Linked DNA regions of Arabidopsis thaliana. The protein of the gene in region 2 interacts with the protein of the main gene of each other region in a biochemical or structural test. Each region holds a gene or a part of one and is shown on either strand. Other genes may lie near its edges. The genes, in order: TBP1, HSF1 and CDC2.

Region 1 (11,849 bases), on a different chromosome or scaffold from region 2:
TAAAAATCCTAATGGTCGAAGACTAGAAAGCGAAATACACTACTCTTCAATTAGAATACAGACAACTATCTCTAAACCGAGCGTAGAATCAATAGCAATAAACCGACCGTAGAAACTGGTTTCGCTGTAACCATAACCTTTCTTAATAAGACAACCGCGTTTTACCAGTAAACGACTTTTCCTCGCAATTTAATCCCACTTTTGTTATTTTTTCAAATTCGTTTTTCCTCGAAGGAGCATCGAGTAAATATATCATTAAAGAGCCTTTAATAACTTAGACATAATAATTATATCTTTAAAAAAAAAACAGAAAAATTCTTTGCTTTGCAACAAAGGCAGACAGACAAAAGGCTAATTCGGAGCTCTCCTCCACATCTTCTTCCAAAACACAAACAAACCCCCAAATTTCCAGAAAAATCAGATCATTCTTTCATCAATCTCGTCTTCTTTAATCTTAGGTGAGAATTCATCAGCTCAAAAACGCAGCACCCGATCGTTTTACGACTCAAATCAGAGAAGCTGATTCTTTTCCAATCATTCCAATTTCCATTTCTTCCTTGGGAGGTGATCGACGATTATTCAATTTATGTTTTTCAATTTCTCTTTCTGTATTCGTCAATTTGCTTGAATTTGATCCTAGGGTTTTGATTTTGTTGACTATTTTAGGTTTTACACCAAATTAGCCGTCGAAAGGGGTGCTTCTTTGATCTAATTTCGATGGCGGGATTAGAGAAAAACGCTGATTTCTCAGGGAAGACGACGAAATCGGCTACAACGACGTCGTTCTTCAACAGGTCGCTTACAATTCACGGAAGAACAGTGGTGGATTCGGGCCCCAAATCCCACAATCTCAATCCTTCTCTCAATCGTACCACCTCCATTACCAAATTCTACACCCCCGTAGAATCGATGGGAACTTCTCTTAAAGGCAAAGTCAAAAACCTTTGTAGATTATTCGAGACTTCCAAACCCGTTAAACCTGCCTTAGCTGAGATTCCTCAGAAGCAGAAATCCGGTAAATCCCTTTTACCCGAATCGCGGATATCGCCTTTTTCGAGCTTAAACAACTCGGTCATCCGTCTTCCCGGGACAGAGGACAGGATTGTGGTGTATTTTACTAGCTTGAGAGGGATTAGACGGACGTATGAGGATTGCTATGCTGTCAGAATGATATTTAGAGGGTTTCGGGTTTGGATCGATGAGCGCGACGTCTCCATGGATATCGCTTATAGGAAAGAGTTGCAGATTGCAATGGGAGAGAAGTCTGTGTCTTTGCCTCAAGTTTTCATTATGGGCAAGTATGTTGGTGGTGCTGATGTGATCAAGAGTTTGTTTGAGATTGGTGAGCTTGCTAAGATTCTTAAAGAGTTTCCAATGAGACAACCAGGGTTTGTTTGCCATTGCTGTGGGGACATTCGATTTGTTCCGTGTTCCAATTGTAGTGGCAGCAAGAAACTGTTTGATGAGGATGAAGATAGGGTCAAGAGATGTCCTGAATGCAATGAGAATGGATTGATACGTTGTCCTGATTGCTCTTCTTGAGATATATCATCAATGAACCTGAAAAAACCATTAAAAAAAAGAAGAAAAAAGAGGTATTTATTTCTCTTTTGATGTTTCCATTGTTGTGTAGAACAGTGAATGATGCTGCCACAAGTATCCGAAAATCTCTTTTGGATCAGCAGCATTTCACTTTGGGTTTTTTAAGGTTTGCGATCAACGGTAATGGGAATGCCGGTGATCGTGGATTTAGTTTATGTATGTGTTTGCTACTAAGGGCTAAATGTAATTGTGTAATCAAAATGTCTGAAACGGGTAGTAAGCATTTTGACTCTTGTGTGTCAATGTTGTGAAAGACAACTGTGTTCTTATGCTATATATTTGATTGTAAATATTTCGTGTGTTTATGGGCATCTTGTTGATTACGACAGTAATTGGGTGGTTCTACTCGCTTGATCGTCTTTTTATGACAACTTGGTTAGAAGTTTTCTACCGACATAATCCTCCATCGTTCTTGTTCGCTAACTCTCAAGTATGATCAAGGGCTCTCAGAACCAATTTATTGGTTGAGCGTAATTGAATGTTGGTGGTTAAAACATAACATATAAGACAATCATGTATCATTGACAATATTCTAATCTTGATTCCGCAAACATTCATGATTATATCGGTGACAAGTCCATAAGAAAAGGGTCATACTTCATTTTCGCATTTGATAAACTTTTGTTTCCGGCAAAATTACTTATTAGGTGAACTCAACATTTAACCTCTATTTCCGGCAAAATCATTACCTTAAAAGAAACTAATTCATTACTCATTCCAACGGACCAACTAGTCCTTTTGGCTTAGGTTGGAGCCAATCCGATAAGTTTGGAGAAATGACAAAATCAGACGTGGTAAAAGTGAACACTTGCATCACTAGTTACTTGATTTGTTTGAAGAGAGGTGTGACCTATAAGGAAACTATCCAACTCTTTCTAAAATGTCAAAGAGAGTTCTGAGGCTTTCTTAAGAAAATGCATCTATCCTACCTACGTTATTAGGTCCAAGAATAAATATTTGCAATCAGAAGCAAATTTCAATCTTGAAAAGCCCAAGTGTATAAAACGATGAGGCAACCTATCTGAAAACTCAACGTTTAAAAAGCCCAATATTGTTTTTGCCTTATTGTCATCATTATACAGAGAAGTATATGGTTTCTTTAGCTACTTGTTTTCTTATCTTTTGGCACGAGGAAATCCTTTTTACGTTTGAGTTTGCAACTTTCCTTCTTTTATAGTTTTAGTCAGAATTGACGGTTATAGATTGTTTTTCACGCAACGTTTTTTCTTTAATTAAAAGGTTACTTGAACAGTTGAACTACTTCTTACTAGTGGTATCTTCTTCACTCACGCATCCACCCCCCACTTGGACCCACTTAATACATACCTTACTTTATTATTCCGGTTTCCGACCCATTTTCAATCATAAATTCATAATCAAAAAATTTGTCCTATATGGAAAATTTATGTTTCTATCGACCGTGCTTCAAGCAAAAACCAAAGTTTATTTTGTATGATCGTGAATCTGAGAACGGGACGGCTCGATCGACTCTACCGTGTTTTTAGTCGAAAGGGTATAGTATTGAATTATTGATAGCTTTGGATAACCATGTTGTTTTTGCAATGTGACACATTTTGCCTATGTCGTGCTCGTGCTCGTGCATGAGCATGATCGAACGACTATGTGGGTGCTATCAATTCTTAGTCAATTCTGCATAAAACATTATGATTTCATGATTTCATACATTTAGGATGGTGACAATGTACTCAACAACTACTTATGCTGGTTTTGGCCCCAAAAAAACATCGTTTTCTAGTGTTTTGGAAACTCGTTAATTCGACGACCTCGCCCAATACGGATATGTTTGACGCGGCATTCATGTCTTGTCTTAATTGGTATGCTAAATATTATTCCAACCGTTAATATAAATATTTAGAGTTATGATTTGACTAAAAACATTAATTAAAATATGTATATTTCTTTTTTTTTTTTTTTCTTTTTTTTTTTTTTTTTTTTTTTAAAATATGTATATTTCGTAATAGTATTTCAAGTGTTAGTGTGCACTAATTTAAATGATTGATTTTTCTTGTAAGAATATTTCAAACTTTGAAATTAACTCTAGAAATCTTATGTAATGAAAACAAAACGAAAGTATATAGAATCACGATGAGATTAACTGGCTAAAAAGTAATCATCTTTCATACAAATTTGCTATACATTTTTTTAATAAGGACTTCTCTTTTAATGTGTAGGAAAGATGAAATCAAAACACACCTATAGATCTATTTTCCATAACACACAAGATCTGAACACGAAAAACAATTGTTATACCAGATATATACAATAGTGTTTTTTTTTTTGGTTTGAATGATATATACATTTACATATATATAAACACATATATTAACGTATAAAATATTACAGGAAATTTGATTGGAAATGAAGTCCAAGTTGAGTAAGTTTTATTTCAACCACCTCAAGGAATATATACGGCCTTGAAGCATACGTAACCATCTCAAAGGCAGTTTCAAATCAAACGTAGATGTTAGGGTATAATGTAAGATATTGAGATTCTTGTTGGCTAACGGAATATTATATCAATATCGAAATGTTGCCAGGATATGAGAACCATGTGATGATGATATATACGTGATTGCTTTTCTTCAACTTGGTGACAGAGAAAAAAAAAAGTTTAAAGGAGAAATAAAAGAACAAAAGCTGTTCAACCCAACCGAATTAGCTTGCAAACGAGTAAAGAGCAGATCTATGCCTCATCCGCTGAAGCATAATGCATGAAATGCTAGAATCCAACTCTCTTCGGTTTTTGTGCTATTATTTAGGATATTTCTGCCTGCTACACATTCGTTGTCGATATTTGAAAAACATTGGGATCAAAAGACATCTTATATGAATAAAAATATATTTGTTAATTGTTATACATAATTTGATGTTATTTTGACATACTATGACAATACATATGTTATCGTCACCGCAATATTAATTAACTGTTTTCGTCAACAGTGTATAAATGATTCCCATAACATTATTAAACGTTGAATGGTAGGAAGAACAACTTGGTATGTTATATATATAACAGAGATCTCATATTATAAAAGTATGAAAATCATGTGTGCACATAGACTATATCACATCTACATGAAACACAAACACAAACACATGGATTTCTTCTAAACACAACGACATGGATATAAATCCAGTGTTATCGGCGTATTAAAAAAATAAGACAATGTATGAGTGTGACAATCAACCATGTGAAATCTTGTCTTTCTATAAATATACTAGTTTAGAACTTTTTGTTTTATTTTATTTATTTGTTATTTTACTATATCTTAAGATAAGCTTATGCCAACTGACTTTCAAATTAAAATGGAATATTCTCGTTTTGTTAGGTGGTTGGATCTCGTTTTATTTAAATTTTCCTATATCCGTCTTACCGAGTAATTTAACATTTTTTACAACTAAGAATATGCTCTTTTCCGTCCAATTGGGAATATGCTTAACAACACTATCATGGATGATTATCCTAAATGTACAATAAATTTACTACTTAATCTTCATTCATGTTATCATGTTAATATACTATTGAAGGATTCCATTGTAAACTATTTCATGGATGATAATCCTAAAGTGTCTTTGGCTTCCCCAGTCAATATTAAACAAATTCAACGCAAACTTTTTAATAACAGTAAATAAACTTACCCAACATTAATATTTGACCAATAAAAAGTCATAAATAAAGCTTTGAAAATATTAATGGGGAAGAATTCAATAGTTTTCGAAACATCTTAAACCTTACTCTACCTAATAACTAGACTTAAAAGCAAAGAATCGAATTAAACGAACCACCCCACTCTTCTGCTAATAGGCAAAAACAAATTCCAGGTGTAAAAGCACGTCAGCAAGAGAAAACACGTGGACCAATGATGTAAAAACGTGCACGGAACAGTAAAAGAAGGGATACCACGCGGTATCACAGCCTCATAATATTCCCTTCAAAATGGGAATATTATAATTATTATCCAATCCCGAAATTAACTCTCTTTTTTTTGGTTCTGACAATGACAAACAAAATAGGTTTCGTGTAGTAAGAGTATCCTCCACGTGTCATTAAAAACAAAAAAAATGGTTCGAAGAGTGACTGGCTCTACCCGGTAAATCCACTATCCTTGAACTGCCACATCCGGTCGCGTGGTTATTATTTATTTTATTTCCTCTACTTACAAAAAAAAAATGGTGTATTTATTTTCTTCAAATGGGGGTTTAAGCTTTTTTTCAGTTGTTTGGTTTTTTCTTTTTCAAAGGGTTTAATGTCTTCTTCTTCTTCTTCTTCGTTATTTCTATTCTAGAAGAGAGAGAGAGAGAAAGACAAGGACGATCGTTAAATCTTTTTCTCTTAAATCTTAGAATTTCAAAGTCTCTGTAATTTTTTTCTCTTTTCATTTGTATAGCACAATTGTTCTTAATCAGAGATTCGTGAGAGGTAAAGGTAGCGTAATTATTCAGTTTGCGTGATCTATAATTTAACTGGCGCCAGATTGTGATCCAGGAATCGTTGGCTTGTTAGGTGAGTTTTTTTGTTCATCACAATTCATGTTCTCAATTCTGTTTTTCTGATCCACAAACTCAATTCATGTTCTGTTTTTGGTGACAAAAAAGTATTGAATCTGAAGTCGAATAAATTATTTGGCGGTTTGTCAGAAGTTGGCAATCGAGATCTGATTATGTTTTATTGTTTGTTTCTACGTAAATTGTGAGCATTTAAGTTACATTTGTTTCATTGATCTAAGTTTTTGCGTTTCATCTATACGTTGCTTGTTTCGCTGCATTTTTGCATGTTTTTTAAAAAACAAACAAAGTGATCAAGGGTTTGGTGTTCATTGTTGATCTGAATCTGTATAGGGCTTAGTTTTATCTTCCTGATTTTTTTTTTTTTTTTGCATTTGACCTCGGATCTGTTGATCATTAGTTTAAGAATGTGTTCAAATTATACTGATTAGCTTAATTTTGTTGGAGATGATCATGACATTAAAAGTCTTTGATTTTTTTGCAGGTTGTTGTTTTGTTATGCATAATTGAGAGATGGTGGTCAAAAGGAAGTTAAATTGTGGTGGCTCTAATGGTTTTGATTTCCCCAATATTCCCAAGGCTCCTCGTTCAAGCAGGGTAAGAGATCATGGTCTTCATTTTTTTTGTTTTTTTTTTTGTATGCTTTTGTAATACGTCTCTGATGACTTTTGTTTCCCTTTTGTAGAGGAAGGTCTCAGGTAAGAGATCTGATGATGAAAGTGAGATCTGTGCAATTGATTTGCTAGCTTCTCTTGCTGGAAAGTTGTTGGAAGAAAGTGAAAGTTCCTCAACGTCTACCTATGCATCTGAAGCTGATAATCTTGATCATTTGGGTGGACTGATTAAGCAAGAACTTGAAGATGGCTATACTACTAAGCCTTGTAAATCCGAGTTTTTCGATCCAGGAAACCCTGCTTCAAAGTCTACTAGTGAAAATACTAGCGTGACTTGTTTGCCATTTTCGTCTTTCGAAAATGATTGCATTTTGGAGCAAACACCGGTTTCTGATTGTAAGAGGGCATCTGGTTTGAAGTCCCTGGTAGGGAGCATCACTGAGGAGACATGTGTTGTTAATGAGGATGCCGGATCTGAACAAGGTGCTAATACTTTCAGCTTAAAGGATCCAAGTCAATTACATTCGCAGTCTCCAGAATCGGTCCTTCTGGATGGCGATGTGAAATTAGCACCATGCACGGATCAAGTCCCTAATGATTCTTTTAAAGGATATAGGAATCATTCTAAGTTAGTTTGCAGAGATGATGACGAAAACTATTGTAAGTATTATAAATTTAGTGACAAATGTAAGTCATATAGGCCTCTCTCCCGGGTTGGCAATAGAAGAATAATGCAGTCGGTGAGAGCAATCTCCAAGTTGAAGTGTTTTGAAGACACTAGAACAGGTTAGTATCATATTACTGTGTTTCTCCTTGGTGCATTTCTTTTTAGCTGCCGCTCTGCCCTTACTTTGCTTGCGGATATATTTCTAGATGGTCGTTTGAAGGCTCTCTACCGCAAGAGAAAATTATGTTATGGTTACAACCCATGGAAGCGTGAGACCATTCATAGGAAGAGAAGATTGTCTGACAAAGGTTTGGTCGTAAATTATGATGGTGGGCTCAGTAGTGAAAGTGTTTCCAATTCACCTGAAAAGGGAGAATCAGGTACATATTAGTCTATATCTAGATGGTTTATTACCTTGGCTGATATGGTTTTGATTTCATGATTTTTTTGCTTCTTTGTTGAATGCAGAAAATGGTGATTTCTCTGCTGCAAAAATAGGTCTTCTTTCGAAAGACTCCCGTGGTATATGATCAGTTGATAATTTACTGACTTATGGAGACATGATATGTGGGTCTCATGTTATTTCATTGTTTGCAGTAAAGTTCAGCATCAAGTCCCTTAGGATTCCGGAGCTTGTAATTGAAGTTCCAGAAACAGCAACAGTAGGCTTACTGAAGGTGCGTGATTAAATGTCTTTTCCTACCGGTCTCTGTAGATGTTTTGGTTCTGCTGTGTACAATGATGAAGTGTTATTTACATAAACCTTTTTGGTTGCAGAGGACGGTGAAGGAGGCGGTTACTGCTTTACTCGGTGGTGGAATACGTATTGGGGTGTTAGTCCAAGGGAAAAAAGTTAGAGATGACAACAACACTCTATCACAGACTGGTCTTTCGTGTAGAGAAAATCTTGGCAACCTTGGCTTCACCTTAGAGCCTGGTTTGGAAACACTGCCTGTACCTCTTTGTTCTGAAACTCCTGTCCTTTCTCTGCCAACTGACTCTACAAAGTTGTCAGAAAGGTACTAACAAACGTGATCTTATATATATATATATATATATTTGTTACTGCAAGTTTTGCTTGTGTATGGATAAATTTGAAGCTCTAGAGATATACCTAAGGACAATCATTCGATCTTGCTAGGTCCGCAGCTTCTCCAGCGTTAGAGACTGGAATTCCTCTCCCTCCCCAAGATGAAGATTACTTGATTAATTTGGGAAATAGTGTGGAGAACAATGATGAATTAGTCCCACATCTGAGTGACATACCAGCTGATGAACAACCTTCATCAGATTCAAGAGCGCTGGTTCCAGTTTTGGCCTTGGAATCCGACGCTCTTGCACTTGTTCCAGTTAACGAGAAACCTAAGCGTACAGAGCTTTCACAACGCAGAACCAGGAGACCATTCTCTGTTACAGAGGTAGAAGCTCTAGTAAGCGCAGTTGAAGAAGTTGGGACTGGAAGGTAAAAAGACTGGTTTGGTTGATGAGGGTTATTAATACAATAATTTGGTTATGTGGTCAAACTAATGATAGATATTCTTATTTCACAGATGGCGTGATGTGAAGTTGCGTTCTTTTGAGAATGCAAGTCATCGAACCTATGTGGACTTGAAGGTATGAGAACACATATCAGAAACTGGTCAAACACACTTTTGAGTCTTAGCCACTACATAAATGGTTCCAATAACTTTGTGATTTGTTGCAGGACAAATGGAAAACGTTGGTTCACACAGCAAGTATATCACCACAGCAACGAAGAGGAGAACCAGTGCCTCAAGAACTGCTAGACAGAGTCTTAGGAGCACATAGGTACTGGACACAGCACCAAATGAAACAGAACGGGAAACATCAGGTGGCTACAACAATGGTGGTTGAAGCAGGTTCGTCCATGTAAAGAAGGAGAATGGTAATAACAATAACTTTCACTTGACGACTAAGGAACCAAAGTGGGCAACTGTACAAAGGGAAACAACAAAATACAGAAACATACTTAATTTCTGAAAAGAAGAGTCTATATTTTTATTTTTTTTAAATCATAGCTGGTAGAAACAAGACGTTCCTTGACACTTTTGGTTACTTTTATGGTAAGTCTGTTCATTCCAAATTTCTAATTGATTTGATTATGTAATTTGGTGGTAGGACCATGGAAAAAGGGGAAATGTAATTTTAGACAATTCTTTTATTTTTTTGTTCATCATTCCATTCAATCTAATATCTATGGACTATGGCAGTGACTGGTTTTCATCAATCTCTAAACCATTTGACAATACTTTGTCGGCCATCGTCTTTCCTTCGTTCACATTGGGTTCTAAATATTTTGGATTCTATTGAGAATGGGGTTTTGGATTAACAGGGCCCAACTACTAAAGTTGGCTTGCTGCACTTTTGCCACAATCCCTCTCAAATTATTTATTTAGCAGTAAAACACCAAATTTAATCTTGGTTACACAATATAATATTAACCAAAATAAACAAAGAAGATTCAATTCAACTAAACACCAAAACAAGAAAATCCTCGATTGATTGTCACATTAAAAAAAAAAAATGTTTCTTTATCTAAATAATTTGGATTCGAAATTTTTAGCCACTTACATAATAGAACCATCAATTCCCAACAAATTAGGTCTACTAAATAGATTACTTTCGGAAGACGACTATTGCGCGCGATTTTTCAATATCTGCATAGATTTGATCCACTTCTCCACGAGTATGATACATTTGCCCTAATGGATCATAAAAATACTGCACATTGAAAACTAAACAAATATTAAAATCTGTTATATTATAATGTACATTGAAATTAAATGATAAAAATGTGTGATATATATAAACACACACATATAGAATGAAGAATCATATATGCAGTAAAAGCTAAGAGTTGACAAAAAAGAAGAAGTAAAAACTAGGATAAAAACTAACATTTGAGTGAGCTTGAGATTTAGAGAAGAAACTATATGCATGTGCATACATTTTTCTTGACTCGGGTCTCGAAACTATACTTTAATCATACTTGCCAAATCAAACATATATTATCTTGAAAAATGAATACAATTCTCATAGAAAGAGAGATTCTATCCCAAAACATAGATTACTAATTCTTAAAACTAATGAATTTTTTGCGGTGACAATAGAAGGTGAGTCTAGTAAAAAAATCTAAATCAACATGACAAGAACAACTAAACTACTACCACTTAGTTGATAGCATGTTAATTTTCCATCAAAAGAAAATAATAGTTACCCGGTAGAGTCGGTCATAGACCTTAAGACGCTCCTCAGCGATCCAACCAGAACGAAGCCAGTTGTAACGAGGACATGTATTATCAAACACAGTAGAAGACGTATTGGGGATTTTATTCAATTGTCTTCTGCGACTCACAATCATCAACGTCTCTTTCCCTTCTCTTGACAGATTTGCAACGCTGCTCTCATAACTGATCACATCCGATGATCTCTTTTGTCGTGGACGTTTCTGTCGTCGATGTCCAGAACTACTAGATTCAGCCTCCATATCTTATCCTTGTATTATCGTCTTGTTACACTTTTATCTTAACGAATTTCAAGTCTTTGTATTTACACAAAACTTATCACCTTAAGGATACAATTGTGCCATGTGTTTTCTCATCTTCGTTGGTTTTGCACATTGTATAGAAATATATCTTAAGGAGATTACAAAATCTCCAAATACATTAATGTATTTCTTTTTTATTTTCGTTATTCTGCACTATATATAGAAAAGTATCTTAAGAAATTTACACAATGTCCATAATACATTAATGTATTTATTTCCATAAATAAAATTATGTATTTTTACACTTAATACCAAACATAAAATAAATATCAATTTAAAAAATGGTTTAATGAATTTCTCTTTAATTTGTTTTATTGAAGTTTTGTTTTTGGAAAGTTTGAGTTTTCTTTTTCTGAATTTAATTAATATTATTTAACGTTAAATTAATAAAATTTTCAAGTTGAGAAAATGGTTACATTGCTGTAAAACAAAATTAATTAGAAGATAAATCAAGTATATAGTCCAAGTTAAGTTCCAAAGGATTTCACCAATATAACATTAATTTATCATATATTATTAGATGAGTACTCACATATATGTAAAAACCTCTCTAATTATAATTTGTATTGGTTTATCTTAGGAGGGGTTATTGGTCTATTGATTTGTAAATCTATATAGAGTTTGAAAATCTCTATTAATTATGAAATCAAGATATATGAATTTTGAAATAACATGTGTTTACCCATGGATTTGAATCCTTTTATTTTTCTCTTTCAAATCCATTCAATTCCATTTAAAACATAATTTGGATTTTCAAATCAAAAAACAAATGACTAAACGAATAACAAATGATTTTAACTAGTATTTATAAATCATCGAATCAATAACACATGATTTTAATTAAAATTTTAAAATCAATGATTGAATAACA
Region 2 (10,088 bases):
AGACAAAGGTATTAAAACATACTATTTAATCACATTCTTTTGGTTTCTACTAATACGCATCATTTAAGGTTGGGAATTAGAAACTTGATAGATTTGTTGTTGGGTGTGTAAAATAAGCTAGGCATTAGAATAATGCAATAAAAAAATGATATTAATGTTGATCAGTGGTCGTTTTCTATAAATAATAATTTTGATGTTTAACTTTAATAATTTGTGAGTGAAAAGACAACAAATCTCTTGATGTCTTTGTTGATTGAGGAACACAGTTCGTATCTAGTTTAATTTGTCTTTCTCCCCTGTTATATAAGAATTCAAATGGTTAAAGCAATTGAACTAATGATGTCATTGTTGCTGGAATAGTCATTAGGTAAATATGTAATTAAAATGAAGGTAATATAATATAATGTTTAGTTTAAATTTGTTTTCGAATTATAAAACGATAGCTATAAGTTTTTTTTAATATAATTTGGATAGCAATAAGTTTTTTTAATCAATATGAAACTTCTAAATTTGTATTTGTTTCGTAACTTAAAATCCAAATTTAAATTCAATAAAATACATAATATCAGCTATGTATTAATAAAAGAAATTGGACAGTCCAAATTAAATTCACTATCTACTACTACTAGAAATGCTATTAAAAATTAAAATAATAAGCTTGGATCGCTACATTAACTTCAATGATCATAACTCTAATTTCAAAGCCTAAATTCATGTGAAGAGGCTCGCAAGTCGAAATTCCAATAAATATCAATATCAGCGTCGATTTCGTTGACTATGGTTAAATTAAATCTTAACTACTGCAGTTACTTTAGTAATTATTGTAGTATATTTCAACTACTATTAGTATTTATATACCTTCTTCTCACGCCAAGTGGGCTTAATAAGATTAATAAATTCGAAGAGTATTATTTATCAATCCGTATAAAGGTTTGTTCACCGAAGACATATGTAGATAGTAAGTTCAAAATTTCAAATGTTTAAACCGATGATCAGTAAAACAATATACCGTGTCCGTGCTCATGAGCATATGTTTCGAAGAATACAATACATTTCTCTAATCAATATATAATTAAATCTCTTAGGGTAGGATTTATTGGTTGTCAAGATTCGAAAGGAATGATTTGTTTATACTTTCGTATATAATAGGATTTATATTTCTCATTGTTTATAATGTCCTTTCAGATTATCAACCCGACAAAGAATATATGATTAGATTATCAAATTGGTGCAAATTGCCGTAAATTTATTAATATGTTATTGATTAGACTATATATAGTTCATTCAAAAAGGAGAGATTCTCGCATGTCTCAGTGACTCGCTAGGTTCATCAGTTTTATTAACTCTAGTAAGAATTTTTTCCATGTATATTAGGTCTCTCTGGTCTATACATCTATATACATTGGTTTATACGTACATCGGTACATATACATACACAAATGAGACATTGTACGTTTAGTATACAGAAATGATTAGCATATCATTCGATAAATTCCCACCGTTTATATGTGTGGGTGTGTGTGCGCGACATAGACATATAAGTATATTATATAAGCAGCATTGATGTATGTTTGTATCATGATTAGGTCCACAAAAGTGTCAATACCATCATTAATGTCAATATAAATGGTAACACGTCCCCACCATATAATGCCTACAAATCTACATTAGGTGCACATACATAACAATTTGCGTATATGTGTGAGTTCTTGTCGATTCATTTAATTATTCTTCTATAAACTATTTCCAATAGATGGTAGTGATATATGATATCATGTCAACATTATTGGTAATTTTCTTTACAAAAAATGATTAAAGAAAACACACAAACTGCTAACTTTAGTATAAAATCATCACCCAAACTCTTCTTTAACAAACGTAATCATTTTCTTAAGAAGATTAGAAACACTAATCATACGATTTACTTTTTCTTTTTGTCAACATAATCATATGATTTTCTAAAATTATATTTTGAAGACTTTTTTTTGGTGTTTGGCCTCGAGTCATTTATATTTCTTTCTCTTTTGAGTGTGATTTAATAATCATGAGAAAAAAGTCCAACCAACTTTGAAATAGTGAGAAAGCTACTTGGACGTCTGTTTTAACTCCACGTGTCAAGCTTAGAACATTTAAAGGTTTTGCTTACAATTTTTATTTATTTGATCCAACCAACACCAACCCATCTCAGATATTTTCGCCAATCATAATCAGAGATCAAATTATAACGGTGAAGCTATTTTTAACTTGTATATTAAATAGTAAAATATACATGTTACACATCCGGATCCGTGGCGCAATGGTAGCGCGTCTGACTCCAGATCAGAAGGTTGCGTGTTCGATTCACGTCGGGTTCAATCCCCCGAACTATACACCCGGTTTCTTTTTTCGGTATGACATACCTATGTCTCCACTGCACGACGTCGTTCAGCGATATAACACTAAACGACGAGACATCTGAGCTAATTTAGTGAAACCACACGCAGTTTTTCTTTGCAAGCCTTAAACTTTTTCTTTCTTTCTTTCTGATACTGATACTGATAGTATTGAGAGACTGACTAAAAAGAAGAACTAGAATTACAAAGATAAAGTAACTGAAGGAGAAAATCTATTAATCAGCAGGCTCTTCAGGCTTCACAAAGAACTCTATATAAGCAATCCGACTCGGTGGCTGATACCCTGCGGATTCCACTTGTGGAGCTAAAGCTTTAGAAACTGAAACCAAGTGCTGAACTTTCAACATTCCTCCTCTTCCTATTGTTAGTTTGCTTCCCCTGTTTTCTCTCACTACGTTTCCCGGTATGTTTGCCGTTGTTGCTTTCAAAAACTTGTATTTGTACCTACAATCAACAATGAGAAGTTTAGCAAATGTATCTGGCTACTATTCTTGATTGGTAAATCAAGCGTAGGAGCGTGTGTTTTAACCATAAAGCTACGGTAGAGAAAGAATTGAGTTCATTGTTACCCGTAAGAGACTTCGGTATCACAATGAAAGGCAAGGAGAAGATCTGTGTTGGCATAATACATGAAGTCTATCTGCAAAGAGGATAGATCGAAATATGTTCCTTGATTCTTTCACATTAAGATAATATACATCACCAAGAAACAAGTGAGAAACAAGACCTGCAAGTCTCCATGTCCTTCTCCTCTAAAGATTACACAAGGGGGTTCCTTTTGAAGACTGATCTGTACACTTGAACCAGGCCATTCAAGATCATCTATTGCTTCCTTCAACGCCGCTGACTGATAGATACATTATCAATTACCATTTGAGAAAAAGCTCAGACTAACAATGTTAAACGAAAAACGATACTAAACTATGTTACTACCTTTACTGTAAAAGTAAGTGGCGCGATTCCCGCCTGCTCAAAGTTGTAGTCCCAAGTAACAGTTTCGGGAATTCTAGTTCTTATCTCAGAGTAGATGCAAGAGTTTAAGGTATCAACAGATCTAATCAAACACTCACACCAATCAGCTAATTACTCGTAATCCGTATATTCACAAAGCAAAGGATCATAGTACACATACTTGAGAAGAAGCTCCATATCAGGTCCTGGATACTTGATTTCTATAGTATTAGAATGTCCAGGTGATGAAAATGTGTTCAAGCAATCAACAAGAAGCCCTAAGCTGATTCCGAATCTCGGCCTACCTTGAGCTCCATACTCGTATTTCGTGAATAGCTACTCATATAACACATCAAACAGATTTCGGATTCAATCGAATTTTAGGGGTTTAGAAAATTTAAGATAAACTCAGAAATCGATACCTCGCGTTGAAGATAAACTTTGGCTTGAAGACAACCTGATTCTTCAACAATCAAAACTATTCCGTGTTCAGATAATTCTACTAAAGCATCCTGGAAACGGAGAAGTTTTCAGAAAATCAAAGAAGAACCCTAGATTGAATTTGGGGAGGATGGAGATAAAAACCTGGTGGCGTTTCCATCGGACGCAAGTGAGTGCATCGACCATTCCTTGAACATTATCGAGCTGGCAAATCAGGTCCGGTGTGTCTGGTTCAATCGCCGGCGACGAGGACGAACTCATTTCTCTCTCTCTCTCTCACTCTCCTTCCTCTGCTTTCCCGCCAGAAAATGTATGCCGACAATATAGCAATTAAATTGATTATTATTATATTTGTTTTAGCAGGCCCAGTTATTAATAAAGTTGATCTTTTTGGCCCACACACAAACTAAAAAGAAAAATAAAAGCCCATCTTTATGATATCGCGTTTATATCTGAGTCACAGAGAAATAAAAGGGTATGTTTGTAAATTTCAAATACTTCTCTTTCTTTATCCGTACGAAAATGGACGGTGTTACCGGCGGAGGAACGAATATCGGCGAGGCTGTGACGGCGCCACCACCGCGGAATCCGCATCCAGCGACTTTACTTAATGCGAACTCTTTACCGCCCCCTTTCCTTAGCAAGACGTATGACATGGTGGAAGATCCGGCGACGGACGCGATTGTCTCATGGAGTCCGACGAACAATAGCTTCATTGTTTGGGATCCACCGGAGTTTTCTCGTGATCTTCTACCTAAATACTTCAAACACAACAATTTCTCCAGCTTTGTTCGCCAGTTAAACACCTATGTAAGTATAAATTCTCTCGCGCCCTAATTTCTCCACCATTGATTTCTCTAATTGTACTGTGTATAGATTATGATTTCGTTGAATAATCTTAGTGCTTGATGTGTTTGATAAGATTTATATGATTCATGTGCCAATTTTGATGAACAGGGTTTTAGGAAAGTGGATCCAGATCGATGGGAATTTGCTAATGAAGGTTTCTTAAGAGGTCAAAAACATCTATTGAAGAAGATAAGCCGGAGAAAATCTGTTCAGGGACATGGTAGTAGTAGTAGTAATCCACAATCTCAGCAATTATCTCAGGGTCAAGGTTCAATGGCTGCATTATCTTCATGTGTTGAGGTTGGGAAATTTGGGTTAGAGGAAGAAGTTGAACAGCTTAAAAGAGACAAAAACGTGTTGATGCAGGAACTCGTTAAGTTACGCCAGCAGCAACAAACAACAGATAATAAACTTCAGGTTTTGGTTAAACATCTTCAGGTTATGGAGCAGAGGCAACAACAGATTATGTCTTTCCTTGCTAAAGCTGTACAGAATCCTACTTTCCTCTCTCAGTTTATACAGAAGCAGACTGATAGTAATATGCATGTAACCGAGGCCAATAAGAAGCGGAGACTCAGAGAGGATAGTACTGCTGCTACTGAGAGTAATAGTCATAGCCATAGCTTGGAAGCATCAGATGGACAGATAGTTAAGTATCAGCCACTTAGAAACGATTCAATGATGTGGAACATGATGAAAACAGATGATAAGTATCCGTTTCTTGACGGGTTCTCATCTCCAAACCAGGTATCAGGAGTCACTCTTCAAGAGGTACTACCCATAACTTCAGGACAGTCACAGGCATATGCATCTGTACCATCAGGACAGCCTTTATCATACTTACCCTCTACTTCAACTTCTCTCCCGGATACCATAATGCCAGAGACTTCCCAGATACCACAATTGACACGAGAGAGTATCAACGACTTCCCTACAGAAAACTTCATGGATACAGAGAAGAATGTTCCAGAGGCATTCATCTCTCCAAGCCCATTCCTTGATGGTGGTTCAGTCCCGATTCAGCTTGAGGGAATACCCGAAGACCCCGAGATTGATGAACTAATGAGTAACTTTGAATTCCTTGAAGAATATATGCCAGAAAGCCCAGTTTTTGGAGATGCAACTACACTAGAGAACAACAACAACAACAACAACAACAACAACAACAACAACAACAACAACAACAACAACAACACAAATGGTAGACATATGGATAAGCTTATAGAAGAATTGGGTCTTCTCACATCAGAAACAGAACACTAGTAAAGGATTATGTTTAGTATCCATTGTAAAGTCTTTCTCTACTAACATTATCGTTAGGACTCAGTAGTACGGTTGCAACTTTGTGCAGAAATCTTTCCTTGGATAATAGAAGAGTTGTATTTATTATTAAAAAGAAAATGCCATTTTTTCTAATTTATTGTAGAAAGTGACTACTTTGTCCAATCATATTTGTAGTCCTTTTTCGATAAGAAAAACAGAGTTGGAATTTTCCCGGGGAAGCTCTTTTCAATGGAGGTCCTTGCGAGCTCTTCATTATCCCCAATTTCTTTTACTAAGCCTAACAAAATAAACCCTAATTTCTCAATCCAGGTACTTTTCTTTCGTATAGTTGACTCCTTTTTAAGTTTCTCTCCTGCAATTCCCCAATTTGTGTCCGTTTAGCTGTGTAATAGAATTTTCAACCTTTGCAGGTGAAATTGTGGGTAAAACAACCTCCAAAGATTTCAAAAGCTAGCAAATTTAGTTATGCTCGTAGTCGTAGTAACATTTCAAGGAGCAATGCAGCAAACCCAGGAGTCGTGTTCGTCTGTAATAGATTTCTGTGTGTTATCGAAAGAAATGATCAGAGGAAATTATCTGGGAAGGTTATGATGAAATCTTCTGTTAATTTCAGACAGAATCTCTCTGTTGCATTAGTTCGGATCGTTTCTGTTCTGCTTGTCTCTTCCATTTCTGTTGTTACCACTGATTCACCACCATCATGTAAGTTCTGTTTTTTTTACATGTTGAGAAACCATATAAATTTCGGGGAATGCAATTTGATTTCATTTGTGTGGCTTTTTTTCTCTGTCTCTTTAGGGGGTCTTACTGAAGAGAATCTTCTCTTCCTCGAGGCTTGGAGAACAATTGATCGTGCTTATATTGATAAAACCTTTAATGGACAAAGCTGGTTTCGTTACAGAGAGACTGCTTTACGAAATGAGCCTATGAACACTCGAGAAGAGACATGTATGTGTGAATAGCTTTATTAACCTTTTACAAAATTAGTACAACTTGCTTCTAAATTTGGTGTTGGTTTGTGTTTAGACATGGCTATCAAGAAAATGGTGGCAACACTAGATGATCCTTTTACTCGATTCTTGGAGCCCGGAAAGTTCAAGAGTTTGCGGGTAAGATTTCCTGAAAATATACAGTTCTGAATTTAGCAAATAGACTGTATGTAAGATCTAGTAATTAAATGGTTTGGTTGAAGGCAGTCGGGGACTCAAGGGGCGGTTACGGGTGTTGGGCTGTCGATAGGTTACCCCACTGCATCAGATGGACCACCAGCTGGGCTTGTTGTTATATCAGCTGCTCCAGGAGGTCCTGCAAATAGGGCGGGGATATTACCTGGCGATGTTATTCAAGGAATTGATAATACAACCACAGAAACTCTTACCATATACGATGCTGCACAGATGTTGCAGTGAGTTACATTTCCATTTTTCATCATTCCTTAACTTTGAAAAATCTAAGTGTGACGAGTTAATGGTTCTGAAGTAAGAAATGATGATAATGCTTTGGTTGAAATGCAGGGGACCTGAAGGAAGTGCAGTGGAGCTAGCGATTCGCAGTGGACCTGAAACGAGACTCTTAACTTTGACGTATTTCTCTCATGCCTACATTTATCTTCGTTGTCACGTTCATTTGGTAACTACAATTGTTGTTATTTCAGGCGAGAGCGGGTTTCTGTGAATCCAGTGAAGTCAAGATTATGTGAACTTCCTGGTTCTGGGAGTAACTCCCCTAAGATTGGCTATATCAAGCTAACAACATTCAATCAAAATGCTTCTAGTATGTATTCTTTGGCATTACTGATTCCTTCTTACAAATTTATCTACTCTCTAGTTTATTATCTCTCAAAGTCTTAACACTTTTTTTGTAGGTGCGGTAAGGGAAGCTATTGAAACCTTGAGAGGCAACAATGTAAACGCATTCGTCTTGGACCTTCGAGACAATAGGTGATGATTTTTTGAGAACATAAACTCTTTTTTGCTTTTGCAACAGCCTTTCTTAAAAAAATTGTTCTTGCTGCAGTGGAGGTTCTTTCCCAGAAGGAATTGAGATTGCTAAATTTTGGTAATAACCTCATAAACCGTTACATATAACGAATTAGAAAATTTCAAGATCCACAGCTATCATAATAGAAACTTCAACATTTGCTATCCACAGGTTAGATAAAGGAGTGATTGTGTATATTTGCGATAGTCGAGGTGTTAGAGATATATATGATACTGATGGAAGCAATGCTATAGCAACCTCTGAGCCTCTTGCCGTTCTTGTATGAGCTTCCATCCTTCCTTTCCTCAAATCTAGTCCTTATTGTAATCTGTAAATGCCATGAAAGATTTCATTCTCACACAATCTTTCTCTTTTCCAGGTTAACAAAGGCACCGCGAGTGCCAGCGAGATATTAGCAGGTGCCTTGAAAGATAATAAACGTGCTCTGGTTTATGGAGAACCAACTTACGGAAAAGGGTAAACAAAATGGCGCTATTTTTTATTCTTCTTCTCAGAGACCGAACCGTAAAATTCCTGAGACTTTAACGCATTTTGCAGCAAGATACAGTCGGTTTTTGAGCTTTCTGATGGTTCGGGCTTGGCAGTAACAGTTGCTCGATATGAAACACCAGCTCACACAGATATAGACAAAGTATGAAACTACTTTCTTCCTGTAGTAACCCCCTCTGTGTCTACACTACACTACATACAAACATGTTCTTACAGTCTTGACTCGTTGCTGGTTGTTGTATAGGTCGGTGTAACTCCTGATCATCCATTGCCAAAGTCGTTTCCGAAAGATGAAGAGGCGTTCTGTGGATGCCTTAAGGATCCTACAGCTGCTTGTTATCTCAATCAAGGCCTACTTTTTTCTAGATGATTTTGTTTTGTTCAAACTTTGTTCTGACAACATATGACTAAAATTTATTGACTCAAGCTTTGTACTTTTGAAGATTCGCCATAGCTTTAGCTAATCGAAACCAGAAATTTCACATTTAAGAACACAAACAGAGGATTTTCCTTCAGAACCAAGTTATATTACAGAGACAAAGCAGTAACACTCTCTCCTTCAGAACCAAGACTCAGCAAACACAAGCCAAATCAAACCAAAGTGAACTACTCTATATACTCGATAACAAGAAACAAGAGACCAATAGTCCAACAGACTAAATTGTAGGAACAAAGAGAGTCGTGACAAACATATACTCATTGATGCTTCTTGATTGATGATGAAGCACTTGTCCATGCTTTTATGAGCTTGGGGAAATCAAACTGCGAGCACTATAATAACAATCATGAGCACGATACCAAAAATCACCAAGAGCAAGCACGTCTACAAGAAAAAGAAAAAACAATGGAAAGAAGAAGTTAGTAGGCTGATCTGATCATCCAAAATCCTCAAAAACACATTTCATGGTACGATCAAAAGCTTTAATATATTACCAGAGAAGAATTTGATCTTTGTGTCTTTGATGCCTTACGAGATGGGATTTTCCTTGGGCAGTTGCAGCGTAAGAGTTATCGATGTGAGTACCAATATCATCTACACAAAAATAGGTCTTACGTCTTAGGTTTTGAAGACATAAGTGAGAGTTTTAGCATAACAAGAGTTGGAATCAGTTTTACCTATCATGTTTCCTTGATCGTGCACCAACACTGCCAAGTCTTTGAAGATCTCGTGCACCTCGCCAATTTGCTGCTGAATTTCTTGTATCCCTTGCTCTCTTTCCTCAATAACAGCCTCATTGAACGCAATCTCATTGTCCAACAGTACAAGTTCTTGTCTGCAACAAAAAACAACAAACCAATCAATAGATAACTCATCAACCGAACAAAGATGGACACCATTGTCTGTATAAACTAACCTTTTTGATTCCACAAGAAGGGCACGCTGCTCTGGATGCTTATCTCCATTCACATCTATCTCACTGGATGTGTAGCTACATTACCAAAGCCAGGAAATCAATACACAAAACCACAAAAGTAAACATAAACCATCAATGAGCATTAACCTTGAGGGAAGAGATGGCTTGTGGACAAGAGGAGCATATACGGTTTCTCTTTCAGCAGCAAGACGCTGAGCCTTTTGAAACTCTTTCAACACAGCTTGAAAGTCCTTTGCAAGCTTAGCATCCACAATCTTCTTCTTTTGCTAACCAACCAATCAAATTCCTATTAATCAACAGAAGT
Region 3 (11,579 bases), on a different chromosome or scaffold from region 2:
TTTTTTAAAAACGTAATCGCCATAATAGTTTAAAAGACCAATTCATTTTTATATATTTATTCAAAAACAAAGTATTTTCTTAAACTTTAAAATCAAGCAAAGTTATTATATGAAAAAGAGTTAAATCGAATGATATTTTTCCATTCTTTACTACACGTACGTACCAATATTGACTTTTACTTCTTCGTACATATATTGAGTCTTTTTTATGATGACGGCGTAGATGTGAGTCATGTGACCATTGTCATCCGTACACTACTAGATTCCAATGGAACTGAAGTTGCCATTGAAGGACTTTGCAATGAATGATTATAATTTAGAACTAAGAATTAAACTTTGGTAGAGAAACCACACAAGTAGAAGTGTAGAACCATCATGTTCAGCAGTTATTTAATCGAATTTGCACCAAACTCTAGATACATTCATGATCGATACCGTAGGTATAAGTTCTTATAATATTTTTTTCACGATTACGGTTTCATTAGAGGGAAATTACTTTGAAAAGTTGTGTATTTTAGTACACATTTTGAACTTTACATATATAATTGATTTAGTGTGAAGAATAACAGTTGTGTTAAATCAAACTCAAAATGAAAAAAAGGCTTTCGGCTTCTTTTTGCAATTCATTTATACATGCAATGTATTTTTTTCGTTTTACCCCAACAAAAATAAAAAATGTGGCTGCTTCGATTTGCACAAGCCAAATCGATCACAACTATAAACTGACGTCTGACCCAAACTCGTGCCCTATTTGCTATTTGATACTGTTTTCATAGGTATTTGACTGAAACAAAATTAATTTAAAATCATTGTTTTCCTTATTTTAAAAGAAATATGTTAAGAGATTTATTAATCATCGTTTGGGATAAGACTATACATATAAGTACCAAGTTGTTGTTTTATTTTATTTTTATTTAATCTTATACTTGTTCGCATGATAGAGAAATTATTGAAGGCTTTATTAGCCTTTCTATGAGTGAACATTCCACTCTTCTTGAAAGAGAACAAGATAGATAATATCACAGCTTTGTTTTTTTTTTCTATTCAATTCTTTTCTCTCCTTTTTCTTTTGTTTTTAGTTTTTAATATTTCTTCTTTTCTTATTGCGTTAAGAAGAACATATCTGATTTTTATGGTCTTCCCCAAATTTGGTGCAACACTTGGCAACTTGGGTAGTTGCATACTTTTTACTCATCTTTCCTAATTTTCAAATCTTTTTTTTTGGGTGTGCATATAAACATTGAATAATAATATATAACTGTGTATATTTATTTGCTAGAATAAAATAATATAGATGACTAATTAAGAAAGAAGACAATTAACATTTAAAATTATTTTTGCCTTTTTATTATTTTAATCTTCACAATTTAGTAATGGAACATATTACACAAAATTTATATTTATGCATTATCCAGATATCATATTGCCTTTAATGATTAGGAAATTCTTGTTAGAAACGAAATTCTAAAATAAATAAAACACACTCGTCATCCATTAAGGGCAAAACGTTTAAAAGATTTCTTGTCTTGTGTACAGTTGGCCGGCAGCTTTGGTGCACCAATTTTTGTCCCTCTTTTTTCCCATTGTTATTATGCTATTAATTTATCTCCTAAAAGATTATGAAATCATACATATTTACACGTAAACCACATTCTCTTAATTTAGCTAGTATTTTAGTTAAGAGTGTAATCTCTTAAATGCATTACGATAATATTTTTCTAAGTGTGCAGATAGTATATATAGAAACAAAGTCTTATCTACTCGTAAACTAATTCACATTAACTACTACTTGAGATTAAACCAATATAAGTTTGCTTCGGTTTGAAACAAAACAAGAGCTTGCCACTTTGTTGCGTTTTGACAGTTCTTCTCATGGTTAATATTTTTTGATCTTAAATGAAAAAGTATGATATTGAATAATCCCTATATCTTAGATAAACCTTAAAAAGGTATAGCTTATGTAGTCAACAGTTTATAGTAAGAGGCCTATAGGAGTTTATACAAAATTTATACGGATTAATGTAACTCACTATCTCATGTACTATGAAATATCATTAAGGAAACAAACAGTTTTCGATTTTTGTTGTTGATGTTAATTTGCTCATTTTTCATACTAAAAACGACTTTGCATTGTATTTAGGGATATTTGAGATATTGAATTATTTTTTTTCGTTTCCAAGGAGAGTCTCTTTTTAGTGTTAATAATGACATATCCTATTGCCTAGGGGCCTTGCTTGGCAACTAGAGAGGAAATATCGAAATCTTCTTCTTCCTTTCATTTCCCTTTTCTTTTTTCTTTTTTTTCTTTCTTTGTTTTATTTTCCCTTTTCTTTTTCAGTACAGTTGTTTTCGATATATATATATATATATAATTATAATGATGTAATGAGAAAATTATTGATTTTGGTGAAATATCAAAATATCTATATGATTTTCAAGGTTGACAAGCGCATGAGATTTAGTTATGATATTTTAGCAGTAAAGTTATGTCTACATTTCATAAATGTGTCCGAGTATTTGCTATTTTTAGCATATAAGATTAAGCCAAAAACTCATATTTTTAAACGTAATACAAAAAATGACAATAAAGTGTATATATAGATGTTTATGTTTTTTTTTACTAAACAATAAAAATAAATAGAAGGGAAATTAATTAATACTATATTGTAATTGTTCTCTTATATCACTTTAAAAAATGAAAAAAATATGGTCACGGTTAAAAAAATGAGTTTATAGGAAGAAATGGTAAATGTTTTTTCAAAAACTAGTTTTATAGATTTTAGAAAGAAATTAAAACCAATTTTCTAAAATTGTAAATGGATAGTTAAGTAATTAATTTCTACGAAAATATAAAACCAATACACTTTAATTTAAAACTATACTATTCGTAAAAGTGTTATGTAGTGTCTCATTTAGCTACTCTAGATGAATTTATTTTCTTGTTAATCGTTTTCAGTAACCGGTATATAAATAAAAGTTTCGTATGTGAACCACTCGGTTCTATGGTGTAGTGGTTAGCACTCTGGACTTTGAATCCAGCGACCTGGGTTCGACTCCCGGTAGGACCTTTTTTTGCTGATTGACTATTTTTTTTTGTCACTGCCATGTTTCTTTTTTCTTTGAGACTTTGACGACATTTCAATTATTTTTTTTGTTTGGGCCTTCAACTTCTGTTTTTTTTTTGTCAGGACTTACGACCCAATACTTACAAGGGTGATTTGTAGATATAGCACTTTTTCACTAAATAATTAACTAACTAACACCATAAATTTAAAAATGTAGTAAATAACCTTCAAGGGGTGTGAAAAGACATCACTGTCCTGCTGTTACGTTTGGCAGCGAAGAAGGAGAATGTTTAGTGTGAGCTGACGTGGCTTTATTATTGGTGTTGAGGTGAGAAAAGAAATCAGGTGGTAGGATAGAAGTTCCATTTTCTCTTACTTTTTTCTTTACCCCTTCCCAATTGTAATTCATATTATCTGATCTTAAAAAATTTAATTCAAGTTCATGATATATCAATTAAAAAGTTGTATAGTTTTCTACATATATCATGACTTAAATTTTTGAAAACAAACATAAAATAATTTAGATGTGAATAGTGTTGTCAATGAATAACATAAAGTTCTATATAGATAAACAATATTTTTTTATAGAAAGATATTAAACCCTAAAGGATAATATATAGAGAACCCAAGAGTTTAAATCTAAACCAATAATTAAATCACTTAACATCCTTAATCAAAACAAATAATTCATTTTAAAACGTATATAAAACAAAGTATACGTAAATAGTATATTTACAAATAGAATAGTATCTCTCAAATTGCAACAACGAAACTCAATTTCATCACCAAGACACCAAGCGCAACAACGAAAGTCGATTCCCTGAATCCAAATTGTGTTCCTCCCTCTGTAATTCGAAACCCCCAAATCAAATCTCACCCAAAAGTAATTAAGAGACTCTGATTTGAAAACAAAAACAAGTAACGAGGTAGGTGTAAAGACTTTACTGGGAGAAAGAGAGAGGGAGAGGGAAAAAGAAAGAGAGAGAAAGAGAGAGGGGGAGAGAGAGAAAGAGGGAGGGAAGATAGAAGGGAAGAGAGAGGTAGACGGAAAGAGAAATGGAGAAAAATAGATAAAGGGGTAAACTTGGAATTAATATACAAAATATAGAGGATATCAGTTCTTTTTCCTTTTGATGTTAGTTTCTTAATTATAAACTTTTTGTTGGTTAGTTTTGCCAATTCCCTTACTTACAACTGATAACCGTATAGCTCTTTTATCAGAAAAAACTTTATATATCTAATCTCCCAAAATATACAAATGTGAGAAATATCTGAAAATAAATCAATTCTCACCAATTATATATATTTGATTACTTAAAAATGTTAATATATGGCAGTTGCTTGTTCAGAGAATAACTTAAAAAATTGATCACGAGATCGGCTTATGTTTAATATTTTTGAACTCTTGGGATAAAAGTTTTGAAGATATATATATCGTAGAAAAGTTTTGTGTTCTTTAATTAGTTACAAAATTTTGAGTTTTTTTTTTTTCTTTCATAAAGTATCAGAATATCAGGGTGATTTATTGAATAGTTTATTTTTTCTCGTTCTACTCACGTTATTCTTGCAAGTATTAATTTTGGTTTGTTTATAAAAAAAGTATTTGGAAATTTTATGTGAGCAAGTGCGAAATAAACGAGGATTTTGGGAAGTATTTTTTTTTTTGTAAAATCGGTTATATTGAACGTTATACTATATATATTATTATATAAATATAACTGCTAAAGACTAAATTTAGATACTAAAATCAGCATTGATGAAGATCCACATGAATAAGACTCGTCTCTTAACTCAACATTTAACATATGATTTTCATATTATTGATCATTTATCTTTGTGTTGGTCCAAGGTGCCAGACTTTATTATTTACATTAAATGTTGAGTTGTTTACTGACATATTTTTTAATTAAAACAACTTTCATATTATTGCCCATTTATATTTTGGTTGGTCCTCCAAAGACTTACAGGATACATATGTTTCTCCATTTTCATTTTTATGATCTAAAACGTCTTTTTCTAACTTAGATTCTAAATGGTTACAGCAAACCGGACATACAATTTTGCTTGTCAAATGGATCGTTGAGATAGACAACAATCCAATGTAAAACCAAAACTCTTGATTTATAATTGGTCTGCAATGATTTTTTTTTGGTTCATATACCATTTTATAAGATAGCAAACCATTTTCATCATAAAAGATATATTTTTTTATCATTGAATACCAATCAAACCCGGTATAATAAATAAAATTGTACCAAATTAATGCGGTTAGGTAAATTCAATTTATTGGAAATTAAAGAAGAGAAAAAAAAAATAACGAACAAAATTTCCTTGACACAAAAAAAAAAAAAGAAGAAAGAAAAAACCCTTACTCTCAATTAGTCAATCCCCTTCCCTAGTCCTCCTCTCTTCAAGCTTTTCACAGAAAACCACCACCCTTCTCTCTCTACTGCCTTTTTACCACAGAGAAGAGAGAGGATCCGTCGGTGTGCTAGTCTCACTGACACTACATCCGATCGTCGCCGGTAAGTTGATTTCGTTACTCTCCGATCAATTTCTTTTCCGGAGGAGGAACTTGTTTTCCGTGCGAAATTCTGACTTGAACTTTGTTGTCAATTCATCAAACGCTTTATCTTTTCTCCATCTTCAATTATCTTACTGCTTCGTCGCTGATCTCTACTTGTTTTCCTCCGTTTTGCATTTTCAGTGGCGTTTCTTAGTGTTTCACTAGATTTAGACTGGTTTTGCTTGTGTGCATTTTGTCATCAGTGTTTATGATTGTTCGCTTTAGCTCTATGTTTCTATGGATTTGATAATATATGAGTTCGCTGCTCTGGATTCAGCTGGCTTGTTTGATTGTTCATTTTCATAATTCTGTCCAAAGAATCAAATCCACAGTAGCTCGGATCTGAGATTGATTTGTTTCTTTGCGTCTTTGTGTAGATTTGACTTTAATTTTGAGATTGTTGTGTGCTGATATACAGCTTAATTAATATAGCCTCTGATGTGTTATTATCGATGTGTCATTATCAATCTACAGGTGACATTTTATAAGTGTGGAGTTTACTTCAGCTTTATTATTCAGGAATTGATGGATCAGGTTGGTGTAAATAGTTGTTTCAGTTCTTACTCTTTTGACGAGAGTCTCTGTTAATGTGCTCTTATTAATGCAGTACGAGAAAGTTGAGAAGATTGGTGAAGGAACTTACGGTGTGGTTTATAAGGCACGTGACAAAGTGACTAATGAGACAATTGCTTTGAAGAAGATCAGGCTAGAGCAGGAGGATGAAGGTGTTCCTAGCACAGCAATCAGAGAAATCTCCCTCTTGAAAGAAATGCAGCACAGCAACATTGTCAAGTATGATGTTAATACCATTGTTGAAAACTGATTCAGCATGATGACTCTGGTAAACAATTTTGATTGATGTTTTTTGCTACACAGATTGCAGGATGTGGTGCACAGCGAGAAACGTTTGTATCTGGTTTTTGAGTATCTTGACTTGGATCTCAAAAAGCACATGGATTCTACTCCTGATTTCTCCAAGGATCTACATATGATCAAAGTGAGTGCTAAGAAACTTTAGGCATTGTTTTATATATGTGCTTAAACTCAATACTCAATATAAGCTGATCAGAGCTGTTCATCCACTATTTTCAGACATATCTTTACCAGATTCTCCGTGGAATTGCGTATTGCCACTCTCATAGGGTTCTCCATCGTGATCTGAAGCCACAGAATTTGTTGATTGATCGCCGCACAAACTCACTGAAGCTTGCTGATTTTGGACTGGCCAGAGCATTCGGTATCCCTGTCAGGACATTTACTCATGAGGTACCAAAGAGCTTTATTCCTTGTTCATATGTTCCCGTTATGAAATCTTTTGGCTGGCTGCATTCCTTATGAGTGTAATGTAAATTAAGTATTATACCACTTATGTGTCTGATAAATGTGATGAAAAGGACTAAGCCATTTCACATAGACGGTTGAAGTAAGCTAGTTCAAGATACTGTAAAATATTTCAATGCTACATCCAGATTTCAGATCTCTTCCTGGTTATTCACACAATTTTTGCATATTGTTCCTTTAGGTTGTTACTCTCTGGTACCGAGCACCAGAGATACTCCTAGGATCTCATCATTACTCTACACCTGTTGATATTTGGTCTGTGGGGTGCATATTTGCTGAGATGATCAGCCAAAAGCCCTTATTTCCTGGAGACTCCGAGATTGATCAACTCTTCAAGATTTTCAGGTTTAATTGCTAACTTCCCCAGTCCAATATTCCTCTATATATTACAAGTGCAAAGACTTGTCTGCAATGATATCACAAGGGATTGTGGAAACATTTTCAACTTGATATCACATTTTGGAGAAGTAGTAAAGGACACAGAAATTGAATTGTTAACTGATTATAAATCTGTTACTGCCTTGTTTTGTTGTCTTCTTCTAGAATCATGGGAACTCCGTACGAGGATACATGGCGTGGGGTAACTTCTCTACCGGATTATAAATCTGCTTTCCCTAAATGGAAACCAACGGTACTTCAAATGTCTTTATTCGCTTGTACATCTTGTCTTCAGTAGTCAAGAGTTCACAACATATATTAATTCTTGCCCTTGTTTTTTTTTCTTATACCACAGGACCTAGAAACTTTTGTCCCCAATCTAGATCCCGATGGAGTCGATCTCCTTTCTGTAAGTTCACTGAGCTAGATATATACACACACATATATAGACACACTACTTCTGCTATTAGAGACCTGTATGCTTGATTGTGATGGATCTGGTCTCATGTTTCTTACTAAAAACCTTTTAACCATTTGAGGTTTTAGATGTCTTATAAAGTCATCAAGAGCCGGCGTACTAAAACCAATTCGATTAGGCTTCATAGTTTCAAAACCACATGAAGCCAAAACCAAACTTGTTTGAAATATGAACAATCTTCAAAAACCAGGATTCTTGAAATTCCTAACCAAACCAGACATCTGGATAGAAATCTAAGATTTTGAGCTCCTGTGAAAGCAAAGATGATAATATATCTCTCTGCTTGATTTGTTTCAGAAAATGCTGTTAATGGATCCGACCAAAAGAATCAACGCAAGAGCCGCCCTGGAGCATGAATACTTCAAGGATCTTGGAGGCATGCCTTAGAAAGGCATAAAACCAGTAATCTCCTTCATTCTATATATAATTATCAATCCTAAGAAAATGAAGAACAATATTAATGGGTTTTGTTTATTCTTTTTCTGAGTTCGTTTCCTACTTATATTCTATTACGAAAAAAAAGAAAGAAGAAGATTTCGAGTGTGTTTTTTTTTACTTCTAAGCTTTTGAGATCAGTTTCTTGTATCTTATTTTACCCAGAATATAGTATTTCCCTATATGAAATATGGTTTTTGTTTTGCAAAATGACCATATTATGCAACTTCTCAGCTTCTTGATTGTGCCTTGATAGTGATCTTTTGAAATATATCCCAAAAAACATCACTTTTTTCGATTTCATTAGTACTTATTTACGAGTTACGACGTCATTTGATAACTAGTATATATGGTCCGTCGATCTTAATTTCCTATTTATAAAGGGTGCACCGTTTTTAATGAGACAAGAGGGTCCAAGTAGCCAATCATTAATGAGACCAAAGTTGACCAGAAAAAGCTGACAAATAAATTGACGAGAAGAACAATTCAACACGTATTCGATAGTTTGGATTACATTTTACAGTTGGTCGAAATTCGAAGTAGATCAAATGTCAATAATCTAATTCGAAACTAAATGAAGGTACCTGATAACCATTTCAGTGTTAGTTAGCAGTGGTTTCAATCTATTCACTAAGCAAAGACGCTTCCATTCTGAAAATCAAGTCCAATGGGAGGCATAAACTTAAGTGTCTGAAAAACTCAAAAAAGCATAGCCTCGTGTAAAATAGACCGATCTATTTATTCATGAATATATGTATGATTATCAAAGTGCATTTATACTTTTTACGTTTTAAAATTTCGTATATAAACTTTCCTTAGTGAATATTATAACATAATTTCTAATGAAAACTTGTTATATATTATTATTTTATATATATTTTTGCCAAGAGTTATTATCATTTTAAAGTTTTAGACATTTTTACTTATTGTTGCAGAGCGCATTTTCTCTTACAATTTATCTATTAATCAATAAAATAATTATAGACCTTTTTAAAAGATAAATAGTAATTAGTATATAAAGTTATATTTAACAATAGTGTATTAATCATAAAATCAAAATACTAAAAAAAAAAATCAAATTCAACAGAAATAAATAGCACATTAATGATAAAATCAGAATAATTTTATTAAATCAAATTCAACAGCAATATGTCACCCCAAAAACTATATACTTATTAATTTCAATCAGTTTCATTGTCATTTACCTAATTAGTTTAAAATATATAGAAAATTATAAACGTGTAATGTCAAGACTGATTCCTCAAAAAAAAAAACCCTTACTGAATCTATTACACATCAATTATTCTGTAACAGAAAGAAAAAAAAATCATTAACTAATTACCATAAACTCCATTAGAAACTGATATCTTTGAAATTAGTTGACTCGTAAAAAGGGAAAGCTGCATTATTAAGAAACAAAAAACATAATTCTCTTTCTCTGTTCCCTCAAGTCAATAATTCCTTTTTTGATTTTTATTTTCTAAACCAAATTTATTGCTCTGAAGACTTTGTTTGTGTAGCAAAAAAAAACGCGATTTTTTTTCTGGGTTTCTTCCGATGTTAGATTTGCAGCCGTCAGATCGGCGTCATGGAGCTCCGAGTAGTAGCGGCGGTGTTAGTGGTGGTGATGAGCTGATCAGAACTTATAAAGGCTGGAAAGGCAATAACGTGAGCTTCTTCTTCTTCTTCTTCTTTATCTCTTTTATGATTGGTTTTTGTTTTTCTGGGTCAGATTTAATGTCTTTGAATAAGATCTGAATCAAAAATCCTAAGCCTTTTTGGTGGAATTACTCAGAAGTTGTGGAATAATCATTCTCTCTGTTTTTTTGCTGGGTTTGGTCATATTTTCAGAAGTTTAGAGTAATAAGTTTGACTTGTATGTATACCCTAATTTTGAGATTTGGTCTTGTTTACGCTGTCAAAGATGCTGGTCTCTTTCAAAATTAGAGCTTTTTGATGTTTAACACAAGTTTGAGTAAAGATTTACCTAGATGTGTGATCACATAGTTACAAGAGTCTTTAAGTTGTTAATTCAACTAGATTTGTAACATTTGTCAATATGTTACTGATCTTTGATTTATTCTTTTTTGTGTCTCCAGGTGTTCTTCCTTGGAGGAAGGCTCGTGTTTGGACCTGATGCTCGATCTATTCTCATCACCGTCTTCTTAATTACAGCTCCTGTCATTGTATTCTGTATTTTTGTTGGCAGAAAATTTATCGATGATTTTCCTCACCATAGAGGAGTATCAGTTTTAGCTGTTGCTGTTGGTCTGATTTTATTAGTGAGTTCCTTTTTCTCATGAATGTTTGTTCCCTTCTGATTCTGATTCAGCTCTCTACTGCAACCTTTTTACTCTTGGCATCTTGATAATAAAGGTTTAGTATTTGTTTGTCTACAGGATCTAGTATTTCTTCTTCTAACCTCCGCGAGAGACCCAGGGATAATACCACGTAATCTGTATCCTCCTGAACCAGAGAGTAATGAAGGCAATGGAGAACCACGTCTTGCTCATACTCCTCAGAGTCGGTTGCCTCGGACAAAGGATATGATTGTAAATGGAATTACTGTCAAGATCAAATACTGTGACACATGCATGCTTTACAGACCGCCCCGTGCTTCTCATTGTTCGATTTGCAACAACTGCGTCGAGAAGTTTGATCACCACTGTCCTTGGCTTGGTCAGTGCATTGGATTGGTAATGGATATTTTTTTTCCTCATCAAAAACCAATTACAATTGCATATACCTAGACGATTCAAGAGTAACTAACAGTTATTTGGGGGTTTTGATTGCAGAGAAACTATAGGTTCTACTTCATGTTTGTGTTGTGCTCAACTCTTCTCTGCATTTATGTCCATGTGTTCTGCTGGATCTACGTCAAGCGGATAATGGATAGTGAGAACATAAACATCTGGAAATCGTTTCTCAAGACTCCTGCTTCCATTGCACTAATAATCTACACTTTCATTTGCGTCTGGTTTGTTGGTGGGCTTACCTGTTTCCACTTGTACCTAATGAGTACCAATCAGGTAAAAATCATTACTCTCTAAAAGCTCCTTGTTTTGAAACTGTTGGATAATTTAGCTACTTGTTAACATTGTTTCTCTGTTGTTTATTATGTTGTGATTTGGCAGTCAACTTACGAAAACTTTAGGTATCGGTATGATAGACATGAGAACCCCTTCAACAAAGGAATAGTGGGGAACTTTATGGAAGTTTTCTGCACAAATGTTGCCGTATCTCAGAACAGTTTCAGAGAAAAGGTTTCAAAGGAGCCAGCAATACCACCAAGGACAGTAAATGGAGGGATGTCAAG

Evidence for each region.
Region 1: the proteins of HSF1 (region 2) and TBP1 form a complex in vitro, tested with the Arabidopsis thaliana proteins (one study listed by BioGRID).
Region 3: the proteins of HSF1 (region 2) and CDC2 form a complex in vitro, tested with the Arabidopsis thaliana proteins (one study listed by BioGRID).

Annotation. Positions count from the first base shown.
Region 1 is NC_003076.8:4,455,052-4,466,900, forward strand, and holds TBP1 (telomeric DNA binding protein 1), read left to right. Parts: upstream 1-5,788; 5' UTR 5,789-6,127; intron 6,128-6,502; exon of another isoform or gene 6,503-6,613; 5' UTR 6,614-6,642; coding exon 6,643-6,726; intron 6,727-6,814; coding exon 6,815-7,529; intron 7,530-7,616; coding exon 7,617-7,790; intron 7,791-7,878; coding exon 7,879-7,932; intron 7,933-8,007; coding exon 8,008-8,087; intron 8,088-8,187; coding exon 8,188-8,429; intron 8,430-8,551; coding exon 8,552-8,872; intron 8,873-8,960; coding exon 8,961-9,024; intron 9,025-9,115; coding exon 9,116-9,304; 3' UTR 9,305-9,686; downstream 9,687-11,849. Other genes in the region: AT5G13810 (Glutaredoxin family protein), read left to right, coding at 718-1,542; AT5G13825 (uncharacterized protein), read right to left, coding at 10,048-10,152, 10,649-10,918. UniProt on the Arabidopsis thaliana protein: Binds specifically to the plant telomeric double-stranded DNA sequences 5'-TTTAGGG-3'. At least 2 repeats of telomeric sequences are required for binding. Induces DNA bending.
Region 2 is NC_003075.7:9,865,778-9,875,865, reverse strand, and holds HSF1 (heat shock factor 1), read left to right. Parts: upstream 1-4,219; 5' UTR 4,220-4,262; coding exon 4,263-4,595; intron 4,596-4,742; coding exon 4,743-5,897; 3' UTR 5,898-6,048; downstream 6,049-10,088. Other genes in the region: AT4G17760 (PCNA domain-containing protein), read right to left, coding at 2,609-2,837, 2,963-3,033, 3,121-3,240, 3,327-3,447, 3,526-3,680, 3,767-3,856, 3,930-4,046; AT4G17740 (Peptidase S41 family protein), read left to right, coding at 6,147-6,227, 6,329-6,620, 6,717-6,866, 6,945-7,027, 7,115-7,323, 7,433-7,501, 7,573-7,691, 7,783-7,858 and 5 more; SYP23 (syntaxin of plants 23), read right to left, coding at 9,149-9,170, 9,342-9,441, 9,525-9,682, 9,764-9,838, 9,911-10,050. UniProt on the Arabidopsis thaliana protein: Transcriptional activator that specifically binds DNA sequence 5'-AGAAnnTTCT-3' known as heat shock promoter elements (HSE).
Region 3 is NC_003074.8:18,066,082-18,077,660, forward strand, and holds CDC2 (cell division control 2), read left to right. Parts: upstream 1-5,372; 5' UTR 5,373-5,590; intron 5,591-6,105; 5' UTR 6,106-6,156; coding exon 6,157-6,165; intron 6,166-6,238; coding exon 6,239-6,423; intron 6,424-6,507; coding exon 6,508-6,628; intron 6,629-6,723; coding exon 6,724-6,897; intron 6,898-7,153; coding exon 7,154-7,317; intron 7,318-7,515; coding exon 7,516-7,603; intron 7,604-7,705; coding exon 7,706-7,759; intron 7,760-8,125; coding exon 8,126-8,215; 3' UTR 8,216-8,560; downstream 8,561-11,579. Other genes in the region: AT3G48760 (DHHC-type zinc finger family protein), read left to right, coding at 9,821-9,931, 10,363-10,545, 10,663-10,959, 11,059-11,292, 11,398-11,579. UniProt on the Arabidopsis thaliana protein: Involved in the control of the cell cycle. Essential for both G1/S and G2/M (mitosis) phase transitions. Functions in cell morphogenesis as well as cell proliferation.